2 linked regions of the Tamandua tetradactyla genome follow. The protein of the gene in region 2 interacts with the protein of the main gene of each other region in a pairwise test. Links are inferred from orthologs where the notes say so. Each region holds a gene or a part of one and is shown on either strand. Other genes may lie near its edges. The genes, in order: SPP1 and UBQLN4.

The links.
Region 1: the proteins of UBQLN4 (region 2) and SPP1 interact in a two-hybrid assay, tested with the Homo sapiens proteins (2 studies listed by BioGRID and IntAct). The link is inferred for Tamandua tetradactyla from reciprocal best matches to the Homo sapiens genes UBQLN4 and SPP1.

What each region holds. Positions count from the first base shown.
Region 1 is NC_135350.1:38,796,375-38,807,188, forward strand, and holds the start of SPP1 (osteopontin), read right to left. Parts: upstream 4,755-10,814; 5' UTR 4,618-4,754; intron 3,684-4,617; 5' UTR 3,670-3,683; coding exon 3,616-3,669; intron 3,504-3,615; coding exon 3,462-3,503; intron 1,161-3,461; coding exon 1,080-1,160; intron 824-1,079; coding exon 782-823; intron 1-781. UniProt on the Homo sapiens protein: Major non-collagenous bone protein that binds tightly to hydroxyapatite. Appears to form an integral part of the mineralized matrix. Probably important to cell-matrix interaction.
Region 2 is NC_135330.1:9,087,498-9,098,561, forward strand, and holds the start of UBQLN4 (ubiquilin-4), read right to left. Parts: upstream 5,213-11,064; 5' UTR 5,156-5,212; coding exon 5,048-5,155; intron 3,547-5,047; coding exon 3,395-3,546; intron 3,049-3,394; coding exon 2,831-3,048; intron 2,257-2,830; coding exon 1,994-2,256; intron 137-1,993; coding exon 1-136. Other genes in the region: ragulator complex protein LAMTOR2, read left to right, coding at 6,316-6,383, 6,701-6,863, 8,661-8,750, 8,995-9,051; RAB25 (ras-related protein Rab-25), read left to right, coding at 10,618-10,660. UniProt on the Homo sapiens protein: Regulator of protein degradation that mediates the proteasomal targeting of misfolded, mislocalized or accumulated proteins.

The sequences.
Region 1 (10,814 bases), on a different chromosome or scaffold from region 2:
CCTTGTACATGCTAGACATTATTTAATTGACCAAATTCAATAATGCAGTAGATAAAATACATAATTGTGAAGGTGATTTTTCTCTTTGAAATGTTGGGAATTCTCAGACTATCGGAGCATCCATATTTTAATATATGTACCCAAACCTAAAATCTTTCTCTATTTGCATGGATAATCAAAAGCAAACTCTATTATGAATATATGTATAAATTACATCTCAATTCTGTTACTTGAATCAACCAGTTAATGTTTATTGAACTCCAAATTGGCAATATGCTGGATTGTTGAACTTTCCTAATTAGGGATTCTTTGCCTATTCAAATAGAATTTTAATGAAAGCAAATTTAATTTATTTCTTTGCTCAGCAAATATATTAACCATCTTAATGAAAAGAATAGTAATCAAATAAACCATTATATTTGGAACAGACACATTCTTTAAGGCAAAATCTTGGCTTTGGTAACTATTGTTTAGATGCCTAACAGATATTAGATAAGACATCTACAAAACACCTTTAATAAATTTTGTGGCTTAATATTTCAAATAACGAGCATGAGTAAATACTTCCTGCAAAATTAAATGTACATGCAGAAACCTGGCATTCCTGACATTTAGTAAATACATATTTTCTTCCTGAGCAAGTTTTAGACAGGCAATTTGCTGGAGAATTTGCAAATGGAATCTCAACAGAAGAAAATGAAGACAATGTCATTAGAAGAAAGAACGGCTTCTATCATCTCTCCAAGGCATGGTAGACCCCCTATTGACAAGGAGAACTCACCTCTTGTTTAAAGTTGTCAGTTTCTTCAGAGGATATGGCTTGCTGAGCAGGAAAGACAAGAGGGCAGATATTAGTATACATCACACACGTTTAAATTATTGATTCAAAAGTTAGCTTTTCAATTCAACTCAAGTCTTATTTTTCAGGCTGATTGGTGAATGGCTTTCAGTTGGAAAGAGCCAACATGGTGGATCAATCTGTCATAAGCACAGGGATGAAATAATGGACTCATTTACTCAGTCCAAATCGTCTGTTTGGTAGCTATAGTTTTGCTTAATTGCAGGAAGTTTAAAAATACCTGCAGTGCTAAGAGAGTCTGCTTCTGAGATGGGTCAGGCTTTAGCCATGTGGCCATAGGATCTGGGTTTTTGTTGTAAAGCTAAAAAAAAAAAAAATAGAATATCTGTCAATATTTAAGAAAGATATAGGTATTTTTAACTGATAAGCTATAAACATAACTATGCTTTACCAATCTTGGATGGATAAACAATATGCATGCATATAATCAATCAGAATCTTAGGTAACCCTTTTATAATTGATTTTTTTCTTGCAGATTCATTTGACCAACTTTTATACGGCATTTACTATGAAACAGACACTCTTTCAAAGTGCTTTACAAATATTACTTCATTTAATCCTTTCAACTCACTATGATTCAGACATCATTTTTTTCCCCCTCATTTTACAGATCAGGAAACTTAACCATAATGAGGCCAAGTGGTAGTAAGTAGCTGAGGCTGGGTTTAAACCCAGGCAAACTGGCTCTTAACACTGTGCTTTTCCATTCTATGTTTGCTAGCTGAGTTCTCTGCATAGATAAAGCACAGCTAGAGCAGAAATGCTCTTAATTAATGTTGATCATCATTGATTCCTCTTCATAGAACAAGGAGAAATCTTTAAGGTTTTGCTTTTTAATATGGTATCCACTAGCTGCATGTGGCTATTCAAATTTAAATTAATAAAAATTAAATATCCAGTTCATCAGTTGCACCAGTCACAATTTTCAGTACTCAGTAGCTACATGTCTAGTAGCTATCTTTTATCTGACAGTGCAGATATAGAAAAGTGAAATTACAGAAAATTCTATTTTTCTAAGTTGCCAAAGATGTAAATCAAATAACATTTTCTTTAGCCAAATTATTTATCTGGAACACAATTGTAATATGGTAGTGAAGAGGAGTGGGAATTGTTATGAGTAAGTGTCATCTGATAGGCTGTATCACCCAGAGCAGATTGTTTCATATCATTTGAGAATAACAGCCTTGGGGGTCCCGCAGAGTCCCTTTATCAGACACTTGAGGGAATATGTATGGGAAAGGCACCAATCAATGGCATTTTGGTTTTCTGATATGACTGGCTCCAATTAATAGATGTGCAAACCACTGGAGTAGATGAGCTCAGAGTTTCCCTTTATATTTTTTATTTTTTTTGATGACTCAAGCTCAGAGATGATACATACTCAGAGAGAAGGTATTTATAAATTACATTTATAATTTTTAAAAAGTAATACAAAAGCAAAATGGACTGACCAACCCAGTAATCATTTTTATCTTTACCTTGTAAAGTATAAGTATATCCTTATAGATTTCTCCATAATTCCTATTAGTTCTAAATTTCTGGAATTCTGAAAGGTTGAGACGAGCTTATTCAATTATTTTCTAAATATTATTTAGTAACTTATACTGTCATGTTTTTATGTACCTTTTAAAAATACATCCTTGCCATATTTTATTCTATTAAAAAGGCACTAATTCTTGCAGCAAATAATACGACCTCATCTTCTCTGGAAATGCTATTTTTTTCCTGGTTTATTATTGCGAGTCAACACTTGTCTTCTCAAATCAATCGGAAAACAGACACACACATGCACCCATGCTCAGCACAAACGCAGGTGCACATGCAGACACACAGCAATGCTTCTCTGAATATCTTTACCAAGTAATTTAATTGCAGTGATCCCAGGCAACTCTGTACTGGCCTTTATTCTGTTCTTCTGGAAGTGTACTTTGTGTGGCTTTTTGTCTAAACTCTTGGGACAATGCCTGTTTGTTGTTTGGCTGGCACAGTTTCACATATTGCAGAGGGGCAGGTACATCTAGGGTGCTGGTCAAATCAGTATAATAGAGAATTTGATTTGGTCTTGTGTTTGACTAGGAAAATGTGATCCAAAGTCAGCTGGCAAGCACCACTGATACCAACAGCATAAAACAGACTTTCTTTTGACAATGGGCTTCTTAGCAAATATCTTAGGAGATATTGTGAGCACTATGGCCTTACAACAAGTCTTGACCAATATCTGAGAAGAATTTTTAATTTAGCCTTCCACTAAGTAATGCAAAGAATGGAATTTTCTCCTTCTAGAACATTATGTTGACTCGTGGGAAGAAAACAGTCATGCAATTTCATGGAACTCATTTTACAGAAGTGATAATGGCCGTAGAACATTTTTTTGCTACATTGAAAATTTAGTTTGGTTTTAAGATCATACATTTATTAAAAATTATAAATGTACTAATTAAAAATTAGTACTGCTCTAGATTCATAGCAAGCAGGCAATAAATACTTAACAAATTAACAGTCTTGATTTTGATAATAAGTAAAATTGGAACAAATATGTTTATAAAACCTCTTACAGTAATTGCATAGATAAACTAAATGATAAACTTAAAAGGTACGTACATATTTTTCCTCAGAGCTGACAGAATCAACCTTGTGTTTGACCTTGAAACAGAAATAAAAAGAAGAACGATGAGGATGATAAAATGTTTCTAGCACATGGAACTGCATAATTCTTTCATTTTCAAGAATTTCCTTCAGATTGAGCTATACTCACTGGAAGGGCATAGGTGATGCCTAGGAGGCAAAAGCAAATCACTGCAATTCTCATGGTGGTGATTTTTCCTGCAAAATATTTTGTGAGGAGCATATGACATCTTTGTAGGTTAAATCAATGATACTTATTTATGCTATCACATTTCAAAATAATCACTTCTTAGCAAAACCGTTTCTTTTTAATGCTATGGCATTTTGAGTTAATATTTATAATGTTACCTCTCTTCTCCATCTCTCACTATTCAGCAAGGGAGAGAGGGATTTCACAAGTTTATATTCACTTAACTTTTAAATTGAGAATTCCAAAGATTGTACCAGTTTTCCAGCATGCATTTCAAATGTAGTTTTTAACTTAAATTGCTGAAAAGGTGCTATTTAGGTGAACTGAACTTATCTTTAAAGTTAGTTACTTAAGTAGGACATTCTAGAAATTTGAAATTAAAAAGAAAACATTGAGAACAGTCAACAGCTTTTCTATTTCGTAATAATGAGTCTCCATAGTATCATATAAGTGTCTTTGTGAAAAATTAACAGGAAAATACAGATGTAAAACATTCAGAAAGGCACTCTTCCCCTTGAAATTGGACTAAATGAAATAATAAAATTAGTATTAAATTGTGTGACATTAGTACTAAATGTCCTTTTCCTTTTAAATGCTTCTACAACCATCTATCCATTAAAATGATACAGGTATAATAATTCCAAAGGGCACAGAATTTAGCTTCTTGGGGTTTGTTTTCCTATTTGAAGCAGAGGTTTCAGTTCTTTCTGAGGACCTGGTAGAAGTATTTTTGTTTTATTTTTGACCGGTTTTCAAAAATAGTTGGTCACCTTTCCTCCAGGAGATCTGCACTGTATCGGGCATACTTATTCCAATGACTAGAATAATTTGTCTGTCTTGCAGCAGCCTGATTAAACTATTTTCCTTGCTACTTGAATTTCCCCCATGCAATTAAACAGAATGTTTTACAGTACTGCAAAGTGATGCAGCCTGCAGGCTTACCTCGGTGGGTGTCTGGCTGAGAAGGCTGCAACGCGTCAGAGAAGAGTTCAGTCTGGATGAGTCTGTGCTCTCCTGCCTCCTCTGTCTGCTGCTGACGACCAGAACCTCCCCGAATTTAAATGCTGCTCCAGACATTCTCCACCAGCTCAGGGAGGCGGAGAGATGTGTCATGAGGTTTTTTTGCCACTGCCCAGCCCACAAGCTCCCACACTTCCCTTCTGGTTTTGTGGCTTAACAAAACAAAACAAACAAGAAACAAGCACAGATTCCTCTACAGTTAAAATGTTACTTATGAACAATATCATTAACCAGCTTTTTCATTTCTGAGGTTGGCATTAATCATTATGGAAGTACACGTAGGGGATCCCATAAAAAGGGGTGAGGGAGTAACCATCATCAAGATTTTACGCATAGTTTCTGAATTAATAGAAAAATATTAATATATATCAACCTTAAATGAAATGAAATAGTATGTATTTTTTTGTTTCTTTCCGTTTAAGTAACAGCCAAATTTGTCTCCATGATTAGACATACTGAAGAGCTGAAAAGATATTGCTGTACAGCATATGAAGAGTTCAGTTAGCCTCCCTCCATACTAAACTACTAAAGCTTAGTTTTGTATTCAAAGATGCAGCAGCTCATTGACTTAGACAAATGGCATTAGTGATATTAAAAATTTATGTTCATGCCCGTTAAGTCGGATTTACAGTCATGTTTCAAGGACACAGATTTTTGTTGCACTGATGAGGATGCGTGAGCTGTTAGGAGGTGATGAATCTGATAACTTGCTATATATAAAATAGAAGAATCATTATTTACTCTAGATGTTGCTGTAGTAAAGCAGTTTAAGACTGAAAACAGGGTGAATGCTTGAAGAGGGCTGGTTCAGGAGCAAGGGAGTGGGCTTTGAATCCCGTCCTGCCTCTAGTTAGCTGTGGAGGAATCTTGGGCAAAATACTTGACCTACCTTTGCCTGTCTCCTCATCTGTAAAATGGACATACTATTACTTAGCTTATAAGGATTTTGAGAAGCTTAAATGATTGAAAAATTAAAAGTATCAATGCCAGACAGAAATTATATGCAAGTGCTTGGCACGTATATGCAAATGTGTGGTTTATATTAAGCCCTGTGTGAGTGTTAACTATTACTGTAATTTTTAGAAAAGAGTTAGTCATGATTTGTAATATCTTTAGATGGAGTAGATTATTAGAAGTTTGTTATTAGTTATTAGGTCTTTAAGTTGTGTCTGGAAATAGGGTAATTTGCCCACCACTGAAAGGTTGATTAGATTTCTATATCATCTTTTTATATATGCATCTATGGTTGGTTGCTTAGAAAAGGAAAAAAAAACCCAAATATCTCTATACTTAAAAAGTTTTACTGGATACGTAAAGGTATTTAAAGAAAATTACAGATGATGCTTGAATAATGGAGCAGAAATCAGGGATAGTAGAGCTCTGAGCTCGTTTTAAATATTTCATATTGTCTTGACATTAACTTAATCTTTTTACCTACCTTTCCCAGTTGTGAAATTTGTTTTTACTATTCATTTACCTCACACTTTCATTGTAATCATTGCAGATGAAAGTGAGATTAAAAGATAAATGGTGCTATTTATTATAAGTTCTTAAGTGTCAGCTCCTATTTGCCAAATATTGCTTTTAAAATAAATCTAGATTTAAACAATTTCCTGCTATGTTAGTAAAAACAGTAACTAGATTTTATGAACATTTCATGAGGGAAACTGGGTCTCTTTTAAATTGGATGTATTCAAAATGAATTGGTATTGTTGATTTGTGGGTTATATGCGCACATTTTAATAATTCAGATTGTGCCTCTCTGAAATATAAACGCACATGGATATAAAATTGCAAAACAGTTGCCTTGTTTCTGTCTTCAACAACTTTTTTTCTTAAACACATTACCCACGGGATGTTTGTCATGTTGTCAGTTTAGCGGGGGCAAGTCCACAGATTCTAAAAACAACTAGCTGTCCCCACAGGACTCACTATAGTTTATTTTGTGCCCACGGGAATGATTTAATATGAACTTAGGGAGTTGAGTTATAGGAATAGATTTTGTTGGAACTCAACCATCTTGAGATGAACCATATGACCCTTTCCAGGACTTTTCTGGTCATAATGGCTCCAACGTGCCACACGATGGCAGTGTTTCGGAAAAGAATCTCAGACCACAATCTGGCTCTATCAGTTTTCTTATTCCGGCAGAATAGAACATCCACTACTATTTAAGACAAAACTATAAAACAGCTGTGAGTCCTCCCTTTCTTGAATGCCAGGTGAGGAAATATTTCCCAACAATGACCCACCATGCGGTAACTGGGAATACAGCGACCAAGAAAACCAAAACATTTTTGTTCTGCTCTGGTCTTGCCTTCAGCAACTCCAGGTTGATGCTGTTGTCTCCTTTCCCACTTCCCACATTCACTCAAAACGTTATTCTCACTCAGAATAAAGCCTTATGAATGCATGTTTAAAGAATACGTCTGGGATGCTGCAGAGTTGAAAAGGCTCTTCTGTAAAGTATTAAATGGATACTTGTGTCATTCTGACTGCAAGAGGCTCATGTTTCTTGGGTTTTGTAATCAAACCTGCTGACACTTAGTCTTTTGTGAGTAAGATTTTCCAACTGTCAGAATTAACACATTAAATGAACTAAGTCAGAGACACTTGCTCTGTAGTATTTCCACACTATTTCCATACTTGATTAGACTAGTGGTTGTTAGAATCGAAAGGTCAAAATGCCTGAATTCCTTGTAAATCTTTTGCTACGTGGAAAGGAAAAAGTTTTCTTGTTACACCAGAATGCAAAGAGTGGTTCATTATCTTAAAATATTAAGGGGATACATGGAAACATATAAACAACATTATATATTTTTTCCTCATTACATGAAGATTCCCATTTTAATAGGAAACATTAAGTACCTAGATGTCCATTTTAGGTGGATAACTTTACTGGCTTCAAACTTACTTTGACTAGCCTAATTACACTTTATGTAGTAAGGTATTGCCATCTATTTCAATTTTTTCAGCTCTGCAAATAATTATTTTTTTGCCCTGAATGTTCAGATTCAGACAATGAATCTAATTCAAATGCTTATCTTGAGAACATCACTAATCTGTCCTAGCAAACTTGGGAATTAGAACTAAGTATAATCAGAAGTCCAGCACAATATTCATCATTTGTAGTCTTGGTAAGGATGAATTAGGTTCTGGCATGAAATTTGAATATTTCAGTAATTACAAATAAAAAAGACACACCATAATGCCCTTTATCCTGTGGCTCAATGACCTAGACAACAAAATCTAGCTCCTGAAAAGCAGGGTTTTGGTAAACATTAGTTTTACTTAAAGCAAATTATAACATTTTCTCTTTGGATCCATGGAATTGTTATAGAGTAAATTTTACACTCAGTATATTATCAGTGATTAAGCACTCAGCCCTTCATCCATAAGAACTAATTCTTGTATGGGCACTGTGATTGAATCCATAGTATATATATATCTCATATGCTGATGTTTAATATTTACCAGTGCTCAAGAATCTTGTAGAATTTCTTTATTAAATTATTACCACCATCTCTGCGGGCATTCCACACTCTTTAATTTATAGACTCTTAGAGTGGATATAGATCATTAACTATTTTCTTTTCTTAAAATGGCACCATCCTTAGCCCAATGGAGCCCATTTATTCAGGAAAACTAACTAAAGAATATGATCCCATGCAACTACTGAGGTTAGGAGGTGTGATTAAACAATAAATTCAGGGAGGCTATGGACAGAGAAGGCAGATGGTAGAGGCCCTATGCCTACATTGGGGTTGAGGAGATGTGTCTTCTGGGATTGAGCACAAACAGAAAAACTCTGTTCCCACCTAACATCAATTACATTGGCATAGAATTTTGGCACAGAATCCCTGCAGCAACACGGGGAACAATAGGAGTCTGTAATAAAAAGGACCCAGAGAGGGAGGTAGAAAGCTGCAGAGGTACAAATAAAAGTCTAGCAGCTGTAGGACTGTGTGGGTGCAGATATGTGTATTTCTCAGCAATAAGCAATCAGCAATAGGCATTTTGCAGATCGTATTTGAGAGGAGACAAGCCTTCTTTGAATTCCATTTATGAGAATTCTTATTGAAAATATGGTAGTGAAGTAGTTTTCAGAAGAAGATAAGAATCCATCACAATATAAGGTTAGTATGAAAAAGTGACCATTTTCTTGCAGAACAGAAGATGGAAATCAGAGGAAAGTGGACAAGAACTGGAAACAAAGCAGCAAATAATTCCAATATTTTTATAGCCACACTGGCTGAAGTTTTTTTTTAAATTTATTTATTTACTAATTAAAAAAAACTTAACAACAAATGAACTGAAACATTAACATGCAATCATTCTGTTCTACATATATAATCTTTTTTTTTTTTTTTTACATGGGCAGGCATCGGGAATCGAACCCGAGTCCTCGGGCATGGCAGGCAAGCACTCTTACCTGTTGAGCCACCGTGGCCTGCCCTACATATATAATCTTTAAAGCTAATTTTGTTTCAACTTTTTGCCTCCCTTTGAATGCTGTTGTTTGTTTTTCACATGGGGAGGCACCGGGAAATGAACTCGGGTCTCCAGCATGGCAGGCAAGAACTCTGCCTCTGAGCCACCGTGACCCACCTGGTTGAAGTTTTTTTGTCTTGTTTTGTTAATTCTTATTAAGAAATAACTAGCATCAGTGTCCCTATTTTATGATATATTATTTATGTTTTAAAAATATTATTTAAAATAACTTTCATTTAAAGTTTGATTCCTTCTTTAAAGTTTGATTTCCTCAAAAGTGAAAGTTCTATGATATGCTCATCTCTCTGCAGTTGATGTGCTAACAAATATTTATTCAATGAATTAATAAATCTATTATAAACTGTATATAAATTCTCATGTAAAATGCATCCTGACTATGAACTAGCGTGGCACCTATGACGCTTTATTGCCCTTAAGTGTCTGTCTCCTCACACTAAGAAGGAAACTTCCTCCCAGTAGGAACTGGGTCTTATTCAGGTTTCTAGCCACAGTTTTCTTCTGGGCATTTACTCTATGTTTGGGGAAAGCATTAGCAATGCTTAATCCTCCGTGTGCTATCTGTGATACTTGCATTCAGTATGAACCGCAAGGAGCGGCAGCTACATACTGCTCAGTTCTTAGAATCATTTTATATACACGTTTTTAAATGCCATTGCAGAATTGGAAGAGCCAGGCTGTTCTCTACTTCCTGCCTCCCTTCTTTTTATGGAGTTTTGGGAAGTTCCTTAACTTGTCCGGGGTCCAGGTTATTCACCAGAGCTAATTTGAGTTATTTTTAAGGTCAACTTCAGCTCTAAAATTCTGTGGTTTTATGTTTCTCCTAAAAATTGATGAGTAATAAAAATATTGACATTACAACAGAAAAGCAAGCAGTTGTAGAGACAGTGATGACTATATCAAGATTGTAAGAGAAGTTTAAATTACAAACAACAAAGGAAAAATTTTGACACCTAAGCACCTCTCATAGAGAAGTAGAGAGTGAAAATTGAAGAGTCTTAAGATGTTTTCCAGTAAAAGTGATGTGTTTTTGGTTATCCTTTAAATCATAGATATAAATTATTGATGAGCACTCTCATAATAATATAAGTGAACATAAAATTTAATTTTTCTTAAAGGAAGGAAAACACTCCCTAAATACTTCTGTAAGACGTCAATTTTTTAATGGTCTGAGAATGTTTTCCCCTTAGCACCTTAGGGGTTTTCCAGAGGTGTTTTCTTAATATGATTCACATTAATTTCTTTCAGATTCCATTACACCAAGAGTGGGAGAGTAAAGAGAAACCAACAGAAGAGGTTGTTTTGTTTCTTTCCTGGAAGATGCCTGCTTGTGGTTTTAAGGGGCAGTGTCATTGCCAAACAGATCTGGCATATCAAGCTTCTCCATAATCTAGAGATGTTTTTAGATTTTTTTTCCCGTACTCACATCCTCTTCATTTCCAAGCATTTGTGGATGTCAGTCAGTGACAACCTATTAATTCAAGAGTTACTAAGAATCAAAGTTTGCTACTAAATTCTGTCCTCTTTTCACTGATTTCATTTTTAATGTGATTTATAATGCTTAGTTTTCCCAAAGAAATATTTCCTTGAAATATTTATGGTCTTCAACA
Region 2 (11,064 bases):
TGGGCTCCTGGATGTCTGTGTACATGCGGCGAAGGGCGTTATACCCTCCAGGGATGCTCTCAAGGTTGCTCAGGGCCCGGTCCTGGTTGCGCATCATCTCCTGCATCATGGCTGGATTCCGAGCAAGCTCCATCGTCTAGGACAGGAGGGAAGGAGACGGGATGAGGCCTGGAACCAGCGGAACAGCAGGCTAGGAAAAGGGTGAGGCCGGAGGAGGGGTTCTACCTTAGAACCAGGGGCCAGGGGCCGGGGCCTAGCAATTGCCCACAGTGGCAGGGAGTAGAGTGAACTAGATGTATTCTATAATTTTGGCTCCAATCCTGTTTCCTTGTGGATATTTTGGTTGGCTTTTTTCTAACAGGGGAAAAATCTTGTGATGATCCAAGACAAGGTAAGGGCAGCAGTTTTCCCCCTGAGGCTCACGGGTTCCACAGAAGTATGAGGAGGAAACTGAGTTAAGAGGCAACCATTGAGAGGGGAGGAGGCAGAAGAGAAAATTCCTACTAAATATGGGCACTGGGCTAAGTACTTTACAGGATTTAAGTCATTTAATCCCCACAATAACTCTTCCAGGTAGGTATTTCTGTTACTATTTTGCAGATGAGAAAACAGGCTCAGAGATGTTATCTGGCTTTCTGCCTGGGGACACACAGCCAGTTCAGTGGTGGAACCAGGTTTCAAGGCCAGGAAGGTTTGTCTGACCAAGACCACACTGTGACTCATAGTAAATGACCACAAATTAGGGAGGGAAAGGATTCAAGTTGCAACAATGCTACCAACACCCTCTAATCCCTGCCCCCAGGTCTTTGGCCTGATTGCACTTTGAGAAACACAGAGGGTGGGGGCAATGGCTCACTCTCAATAAAGGGTGTTTTATGTTAACCCCAAGGAAAAACAGTACCTGAGAAAATAAACATGGCTTCTTCTTGTTCCCATCCAGCTTAGACTACCTTCTCTCTCCACCCATCTTTCTTTCCTTCCCAGTCCCGCTCTACACTCAGCTCTTCTAAGATGCCTTTATGGACTGATACACCTAGGCTCACGGGCTCTGATGTCTTGTTCCAGTGCTCAATTATTCATTCAGAAAATATTTACTGAGTCCTACTAAGTACCAGGCACTGTACTAGACAGTGAACAAAGCAAACACTCAAAAATGTCACGCAAAAAAAAATTCAGGAGTGCAAAGGTGGTAGAATTCTCGCCTGCCACTTGGGAGACCCGGGTTCAATTCCCGATCCATGCACTTCCCAAAAAACAACAAACAAGCAAAACAAAGAAAAAACAACTAAACAAACAAAAATTCAACAAAATGGTGCTGCAATAACGGGATACTCAAACGGAAAAAGAATGAAATGTGACCCCCACCATACAGCACACAGAAAAAAAAAAGTCACTTATCTTCTAGTGAGGTCAACACTGGTGCCCACAGCTTCACTGGGAAAACTCTCTCCTTATCCCCTGTCGGCCTGAGTAGGCCAGTAGATGAAGTTCCTAAAACCTCCTCCTCCAGGTCTCTCTTCTCCACAGGGCCATGATGATTCCCAAACATCCTACTCTCTTTTACTTTCAGACCTTTGCACTTGCTGTCCCTCAGCCCTGAATATTATTCCTTTTCTTCCCCTGACTGATTCTTCCTCTTCCTTTGGGTCTTAGCTCAGATGATACTTCCTCTAGGAGGTCTCCTCTGAGCTCCAGGATAGGGTGAGGAGCCCTTCTCTGTGCTCTGAGGGGATCCTGAACTGTACCTATGGGTAACACCAACCACACTGAAATACCTGTTTACCTATCCCACTTCCCTTTGAGACCAGGAACTTCTGCAAAGCTAGGCCTGTGTATTTTCATCACTGTACACCAGGGTTTAAAATATGGCTGCCGAATTAATGAATGAATGAATCAGTCAATCAGGCAGTGTAGGACAAGGCAGGAATAGGCTAGGTAGGGAATGCCTGGGCTCTAGGTATCCCCCTTCAACCCAACCTTCTCCCATACCCACCTGCCTCATGAGCTCAGGGTTGTTGAGCATGTGGCTAATCTCGGGGTTCCGCTCCATCAGCTGTTGCATCTGAGGGTTGGCCATGATCATGTGACGCATCAGGTCAGGGTTAGACATCATGTCCTGGACCAAAGGGTTCTCCATGATCTGCGACAGCATCTCAGGATTGGACATCAGCTGTCTCTGCATCTGTTGCTGCAGCTCCATGAAGTTGGCAGAGCCTAGGCCCAGGCTGCCCAGCCCCAGGATGCCCCCAAAACCAGCTGTGGGGAGGGGGCAGGGTCACCATCTGCCACGATAGCCCTTCCCTAACCTGGTCTCCAGAATGGGCCCCATCTGTCTCTGCCTCTCATATCTCCCTTTTCCACTTACTCCCATAGTCCCAGCCGTGATCCACGGCTGGCAAGATGTCAGTTTACTAGCCAAGACCTCTTTGATGGTAGAAGCTTAGATTACCCCGAGCTGAGCACAGTACCTAGCTCACCGTGGGCAACCACTGGCGGCTTGTTGAATGAACAAATAAATATTCTCTAGCTAACCCCAGCCAGGTCCACCACTTTCCCAAACTCACGGGGTCTTCCAAAATCCTGACCTGGGTTTTCCACATCCCCAGCCCCATTTCTCCCCTTACTGCTAACACTCAGCCATGTTCCCCTCCTTCAGGAAGCCCTCGCACACTGGTCTTGGCTGAATACCAGGGTCTGGAACCCTATGTCCAGAAGCCCCCCGCCCTCACCAGACCACCAGACCAGAGCAGGGACCATCCTTCTGCCTGCTCTTGGCTTTCCCTCACTCCCCAGACCAAGTAGGACTGTGTTCTCCTTTCTAGGGGCTTACAGAGTATGGAGGCGGGAGCACTGGGGGGTCCCTCCCCAGCCCCTGGGGAGGGACCGCCCCCACTGCTCCTTCGGCTTCCACTGCCAGTATCTGAAGTGGTGCTGCCAGAGGTAGAGGGCTGGGCAGGGGTGGCGGGCGAAGCAGGTGTCGTGGAAGGTGCAGAGGCAGGGTCTGGAGTGGAGGGGGAAGAAGCAGTCGTAGCAGCCGGATCTTGAGCCCTGGGGACAGAGAAAGGAGACTCTTAGGTGGGTGGAGTGGGCACACAGAGAAGCCACTGCTCTGATTCAAGCTACCTGCTGAGGGCCCCTGAGGCAGCAGCAGGGGAAGGGGTGGTCAGTAAACCAGGGAGAGGGAGGAAGGAGCTAGTCTTATCTGTCTTCAGGGCATTGTGGGAGGAGTAAGTCAATTTCCCTTCTCCTAGAGGTGATATCATAGTGCTGCCAGGCAGGACATCCTTGACACAGGCCGTCCAGGTCCAGCTGAGCCATGGGTGAGAAAATGTTAGACGGGGAAGGGAAAGGAGGGCCTAGTCAGAGGCTGGGCCTGCTCATCTTCTGAACTTACTTCTGAGGAGTCTTGATGACCAGGTGCACAGTGAGTCCATCCTTGATTCCATGCTGGTTCAGTGTGTCCCCATCCTTGAGGATCTTTCCGGCAAAGATCAGGACGAGCTGGTCCTGCTGGGCCTTAAATCTCCGAGAGATTTCCTCTTTGAACTGTGACCAAGAGGCAGAGGTCACTGAGGAGGCTGCCAGCCCAGACCCACCAGGGACCCTGCCCCTCTCCAAGAGCCTCTGGCATACCCTTGCTCCCACTCTAGTCACGGGAATTTCTTTCTGCAGTCTCTTCTCCACCCCTCCAGTTGCAATAAGCAGCTCCTTTCTTAACCAAGATGGACCAGTGAGAGGCTCCTCTCTCAGCTATATTCCAAGGTCTTCCACCCCAAAAGCCCTTGCTCTGACATCCTACCTTCAATCCCTTCACCCAACCCCCTATGAGGGTGCTAAATGGGCAGCCCTCTCCATCCCAACTCCTTCAACAGTTTTAGACCCAGGCCCCGTCTCCCTTCAGCCTTCTCTTCTCAGACTCCAACTTTCTATCTTTCTTTATTCCCAGCTTCTGCTTCAGCCATCTTTGAACTACAACAACAAATAGCCCTTGATATTCATCAGTTAACAGTCTAAATCCTGGGAGATATTATCTCCACTAGAAAGTTGAGAAAATTAAGGATCAGAGAGATTAGGCAATTTACTCTGCTCAGAATGGGACTCAGGCCTTGACACCCAAGCCCACGCTTGCAACGGCCTGGACACACTGCTTCTCAATTAAAACTGATTTAAATTTCAGCTTCGCAGAGGAAAGAATTTAAATTCTGGAATAGAGTCATTTTATAAAGTTGGGGGGCAGGGATGGCACCGAGGGCTAGCTTGGGGAGAGTTAGACTCCCCAACTATCAGCACACTCCCAACAAAAAATAACAATCATTCTGAGGAAAAACAGTGCACTTGCTAAGCAAAGGCAGCTTCCAGAAGCCCTCCCTTCCAACCAGATGGCCTATCTTAAGCCCCGCCTATGTGAAATTTTGGAGCAGCCACTGGGGGTGAGAAACAGAGGCAATATTCCCTCATTCACTTATTCAACAAATTTTTATTGAGCACCTACTGCACACTGCACAAACCCTAGAGGAGCTGACCACCAAAGGAAACCACTTCAATTTGAAAGAATCTGGGCAGAGGAAAATCCGCCCCCTACTACCCCAGGTTTTCTCCTAAAACGGTGGGCCTCCTCTGAGGCATAGAGTAGGCACCCGGTGCTCTCCTGCGTCCGTTCTCTTGTTTCAGCACCTTGCCTGGACTCCCTACTCTGCCATAGCGCCTCGAACCCCGACCAGTAACCCAGGGTTCTTCTCCCGTCTCTGTGCAAGTGCAGAGTGCTCTCTGTGCAAGGGGGCCCCCTCCTCACCCTCCACCACGCCCCCAGTCCTGGCCCCACGGCAAACCCCGTCCCCCCCAGCACACGCCATGCTCCCCGGATTTACCCTCGTAGGGCGCTCCCTACCAGCATCTCCTTCCCCACCGTTCCTCGGGGTTCCGGCTGGACCCTCGCCTTCCTGTCCGGGATCTTCCCGGACTCCCCGACCGTCCCTCAGGACCGCCCCCCCCCCCCCATCTCTCCGCAGACCCTTCCACGGCGCGCGGTCCCCGCCACCCATACTACCTCCTTGACCGAGGCTCGATCGCAGATCACAATTTCCTCCTTGTCCTTCGGGGTCTTGACGGTGACCCGAATGGGGGGCCTCGTCTCAACCCCGCTCGGCTCCGCCATGCCGCCGCCGCCGCCACCCGGCCGCCCGCCAGCCCGTCCGGGCCCCTCCTCCTCCTTCTCCACCTCCTCCTCCTCCTCCTCCTCCCCGCTAGCCCGGCCCGCCCGGCTCGGCTCGGGTGCCTCCAACACTCCCCTCTCCCCGCCTCTCCTCAAGGCTTCGCCACCCGCTCCGGACCTGCCGCAGCCACAGCGCCCCGGGCGGCCCGGGGGGGCCACTGCACCGGGTCCGCCCAGGGCCGAGCCCTGCGCCCGGGAGCCGGCTCTGGGGCTCGCCGGGCGGCGGTGGGGGGAGGGGCGCTGGGCGGGGGCGGGGGGCGTGCCCCTTGCCGCGGGGGCCCCGCCCCAGCCTCCCGGAGCCGCTGGGAGGTCCAGTCCTTCCCAAAGCTGCCCCCGCCCCCTCCGCGGGTCACTCCCGCGCCGGGACAAAGGACCTTCTGTGTCGCCGCTTTATCTCTGCTCCGTGAGATAACTTGGTCCTTCTCGGGAGGCCCAGTTCTCTCCAAAGGCTGGGCCTTCTCCCTCCTGACGTGAAGGCTGAATTTTCCCACCTCGGGACGTCCACCTAGGACCTCATCTCTACAACTGTCCCCATCCTCCCGAGGGATGGGGCCTTAATAAAGGACTGTTAAATATGGTTCCCGAGACCTGGGTTTGATCTGCGTGGCCTCGGTTTCCTCCTGTCTTTCTGAGCCTCGGTTTCCTCAAGATAATAGTACCTATCGCCTCATCCAAAAGAATTGTGTATAACACAGGACATTGCTTTGAAAAGTAACCAAAGGTGTACTTCATAACTACAAGGTTTTTCAAATTATTGAACCGTGGTTTGCCAAGCGGACGTGACGACTTCTCCCCGAAGGAGTTAAACCTCCTTGTAGGACTTCTGTCCTTTTACTCCCGCTCTTTTCCCCCATAACCGCGTGGTCTGACTGGAAAGGCAAACTATAGTTCCCAGGGTGCCCCGCGACCGCACAGGAACTACAACTCCCAGAGGCCTCCGCGGCGGCGGGGGTATTGAGTCAGACCCGCAATAGGCCGGGAAACTACAACTCCCAGGGCGGTCGGGAGCAGGGCGGCTGGACTACCGGGAGTGGCCGGCGGAGGCCAGCAGGCGGCACCTCGGCGGATCTGTGTGCGAAAGTTCCGGGTTCGGAGTCGCAGGCATGCTGCGCCCCAAAGCTCTGACCCAGGTGCTAAGCCAAGCCAACACTGGAGGCGTCCAGAGCACCCTGTGAGTGCGGACCGAGGACCCGAGCGGCGCGCGCTGAAGCCCGAGTCGGGCGGCGGGCGGCTGTCTGAGGGAGGGTTGGGGAAGGACCGCCCGGAAGGGAGGAGGCGGCAGAGGGGGCAGAGGCCTGGGGAAACCGGCCGGGAGGGCCCCTCTCGGAAAGGGAAGCGGGGCGTGCTTGAATGTCCGGGGCACGGTCCCGAACACCCTCGGCCCGGACACTTGCTTCCAAGAAGCGCCGGTAGTGGGGTTGTGATGGGACCCCAGAGGTCCTACTCCCTGTCTTAAGCACACCGATATCCCTCCCCACCCCTCGCCAGGCTGCTGAATAACGAGGGATCGCTGCTGGCCTACTCGGGTTACGGGGACACGGATGCCCGGGTCACCGCGGCCATCGCCAGTAATATCTGGGCCGCGTACGACCGGAACGGGAACCAAGCGTTTAACGAAGACAATCTCAAATTCATTCTCATGGACTGCATGGTATGGAGAGAAGAGCCTAGCTTCTGTCCTCCAATGGGGATTCCCACGGGGTGACCCGGATTCCGCCCGGATAGTCAGAGGGGCAGGAACGGGAGCTCTGGACGAGTACTAAGAGCTGGTGTGCGACAGCACTTAGAGTAAGCAGGACCCATTGCATCAGGTGGTGTTGAGGAGGGAGCCCTGGACCCGAGGTCTGATTGAGGTTCTGGTCTCTGCCAGCTACTTATCAGTTGTGGGACCTTGGGCAAGTCACTTAAGTTCTGGGAGCTTCCTTACTTCTCTAAGTTGGAAACAATACTCCTTCCCCCCACCTTTCCTGTCTCACACAATTGTAGTGAAGTTCAAATGAAAGAATGGATATCAACCATACAGTGAGGTACAAACACAAGGTGCTGTCATCCCAGGTTCAAAACCTTAGAGCTGGCAAGGTCTCCAGGACCTAGTCAACTCCTTTTACAGACAAAAGAAATGAAATCCAGAAAAAGGAAATGGACATTCCACTGTGAACTGCGTGGAAATAGGAACTGTCTCACTCATGTCTGTACATTCAAGAAATATTTACTTGAATGTAAATATAGTTTTCTCCAAACTGAAGGGAAAGTAGTAAACAGGATAGACAAAAACCCCAGTCTTCGTGAAGCTTAAAGTCACATATTTTTTATAATAAGCTTGGTTAAAAAAAAAAAAAGTTTGGTCATGGAAATGCTATGTAGAAAAATTAAGTAGGGAAAAGAGATAGAGATTGTAGGGGGCATGTGTTAGAGTCTCACTAAAAAGTTTACAGTTGAGCAAAGATCTGAAGGAATTTGGGGAGTGAGTCATGTGGCTGTTGAGGGAAAGAACTTCTCTGACAGAGAGAGCAACAAGTGCAAAGGCCCTGAGGCAGAAAGGTGCTTGGTCAAGGAACAGCAAGGTTAGTGTGGTTGGAGTGGCATAAGCATGGGAAAGAGTAGTAGAAAATGAAGTCAGAGAAGCAGGGGTGTAACACCTGGTGCCCCGCACACAGTGGATACCTAATGAAGGTCTGCTGAACCAAACTGAATAGACCCCAAGGTTGAATTGCCCAAAAGATTCTCCATGGAGACTCGGCTGGCTGACTACCTCTTCCCCATCCCCTGTCCAACCAAAGAGGCCATTTCAGTTCAATAGATGACTCCTATATTGTGCCTAGACTAAAGCTGGTGCTATAGGGCAAAGGTTTTCAAATATTCGCGACTGCAACCTAGCCATAAGAAATGCATCCACTAAAACAAAAGTTTCATGAAACATGCAATGCACTTCATTTCTCTTCTTTTTTATTTTTAAATGCTGATCTACTTTCTAAATTAATTTAATCCTAGGTCAAACCTCAGTTTGAAAAACCTTGTCATGGAAAAAGAAGATAAACATAAATTGGGTTACTATTCCCAAGCCCCTCTCAGTATCTTTGGGTTGAGCCCATAATAATGTCATCCATTTGGACAGGCTGTTACAGATACAAAACTCATTCATGTGTGATGGTACCCACACCAGCTAGGATGAGACAGAAATTACAGAAAAAGAAACTGAGTTTCTGATAGATAAATGAGTTTCCCAGGGTAACTTGGAGGTGGCTGTGCTGAAATTGGAAGCTGGGCTCTGGACTCTAATGTCCAAGGCCATGGCCAGAGCACCCCCCCCCCCCCGCCCCCCACCCACCAGCTGAACCTTCTGTGCCTTAGGCATGGAGGGAAGATAGAGTCTGTCTGGGGCAAGAGGAGCCCTTGTGGGAGGAGAGGGACCAGGGTGCCAAGCAGAACATCACATCTCCCCCACCAGGAGGGCCGTGTGGCCATCACCCGAGTGGCCAACCTTCTGCTGTGTATGTATGCCAAGGAGACCGTGGGCTTCGGGATGCTCAAGGCCAAGGTGTGTATGTGCCTCGTTCTTCCATAACCCTGGGCACAGCCTTCAAGCTCCATCACCATGGCCACTCCCAGCCCCACTACCTTACCCTTCTCACATCCACCCAGTGCATGCCTGGTGTGGGCTAATTCCTATGAGCGGGCTGAGGCTGGTGATCTGTGCATATGGCATTGGGGGTAGACCCTGGATTCAGGATCCCTCTACCAGCAAGCCAGTGTGGGACTAATTTCTGTTCTCCGCCTTGCAGGCCCAGGCCTTGGTGCAATACCTGGAGGAGCCCCTCACCCAAGTAGCGGCATCCTAATGGCCACAGACAGAAGCTGGGGTCACAAAGGAGAGATGACCATTTGGGGGGGCAGGGCCCCTGGGAAAACCTTCCTGAACTGGGGGAGGAGAGGAGAGGTTTTTTTTTTGTTTTTTCCAAGAATAAACTTCAATTCCTCTCTTGTGTATTGCTACTTTCTTGGGTCTGAGGAATTGAAGAGGTGGGAAGGAATCCAGGAATCCAGTGATCCAGGAATCACTGGATCACTGGTAGGAATCCTCAGTTCAGCAAGGATGGATTTCTACCCACTCGTTCCACAAACAAATGCATTTTGACTGTGGTCCCTTTGGCCTCTCCAGCAGAGTGGCCTCACCCAGCCGTGGCCACTCAAAGCAGAATAATATCCACCAGATTGTCAGGGTTCTGGTGGGGGTCACCTTGGATAAAGAGAATATAAGGCCCTGGAAACACAGCATCCTTCCTTGCAGGCTTTTGGGGGTGATTTCTACTCTTGGGGTTGGGAAGGTGACCCCTAGCCGCCTTCGAGGGGCCCAGCTCTCCCTCTTCTCCCAGGCATTCACATGCCAGCCAGACCCTTCCAAGTTCTTGAAGCAGACACCATAGCTTTGCTGTGAGGCCTCGCCACTGGGCAGGGAGTAGAAGAAACCCAGAGACAGGCCTCTGAGAGGCTTACATCTCCAGACCCTACCCCTATACTCAGACCCTTCACCCCATCTGGCAGTTTCTGCCCTTGGCCTCCCCTTCCCTGGTGTCCTTGGAGCAGATCAGCTCAAGGAACAACCAGTTCCTCTCCCCAGTGCCGTAGGAAGCAACCCATCCCAGGGAAGCAGGTCAGGCCTCCAGTCCCAGCCTCACCCAGGGTGAGAAATGCTGCCCAGCCCAGGCCTTGGGCTTTCAGGGAGGGGCAGATGTTGCTGTGACCAAGACGCAGCTCCCACAGCTCTGTCCCTCGTACGGGTATTCCATCAGCCCTAGCCCTGGCCCCAGCAGCCTGCCACTGTGCCCCCTGTCCACCCCACCAGAAGCTCTCTGCACCTTGCTTTGAAGGAAATACAGGAGGTCAAGTGGGTTTCTGCTCCCTGAGGGGTTCTTTCTAACTCACTAGTGGCCAGGCTACCACTTGCCACAGGGCCCAGGAGACCAGCAGTGAATGCTTAAGCTTCAGCCACCTCTCGGTAGGTCTTGTCTAGTGCCCACCTCCCCAACTACCAACCCTTGGAGCCTGCTCCCCTGCCTGCTGGAGCCCAGACTGAGAGCAGACACCCAACCTGTCTAACCTGTCTGACGTCATCGTTTCTCCACCCACTTGGGCCCCAGTTCTCCAGCTGCCTGCTCTTCCTGTTCTCTGCTTCCGTCCTCTCAGCCTCCTTACAGTACCCCCACCTGCCAGAACTGAGCCTCCCTAGGCCCTGCCTAGCTTTGAGTCTGCCCTCAATCCCTCTGGCTGCAAAACACTCCATACCCCCAATGAGAGGTGGGGCAGGTCCAGGACTCTTGAAATCCGAGGGTTGAGGGCACTGAGCCAACACACAGAGCAGTCACCTCTGCTTCCAAAGACACTCGCACCCTCCATGCGGAGCCAAAATGGGGACCGGAACCGAGGAGGATTATAACTTTGTCTTCAAGGGTGAGTTGGGGTCCATGGGGAGAGAGGAAGGCCAAGGAGATCCAGAAAAAGAGCAACTGAGGTGGACGGTCCTGGTATTATCTCTTACCAGGACCCCCCAGGGCTCATGATTCCCTCCGGATAAGAAAGCTGCAGGGCATGGGGCAGGAAAAATGTCTTGGAGCTGTTCTGTTATAAATAATGTTATTGATCATTCCTTAATATTGCCGAGTTCGGCTCCGCTACCCAGTTCTCAATGGAAACCCAAATCCCCGGAAATAGTCAGCTGCTGCAGCATAAGAGAGGAAGGTCAGACTTCAGAAAGGACTTCCCTTGTGGGACAAGAGGAAACAGGCAAACTTAAGAGGCAGAAAGTCACCATCCTGTACACCCCATTAGATGTGCAAGAAAGGAGAGATCTATTC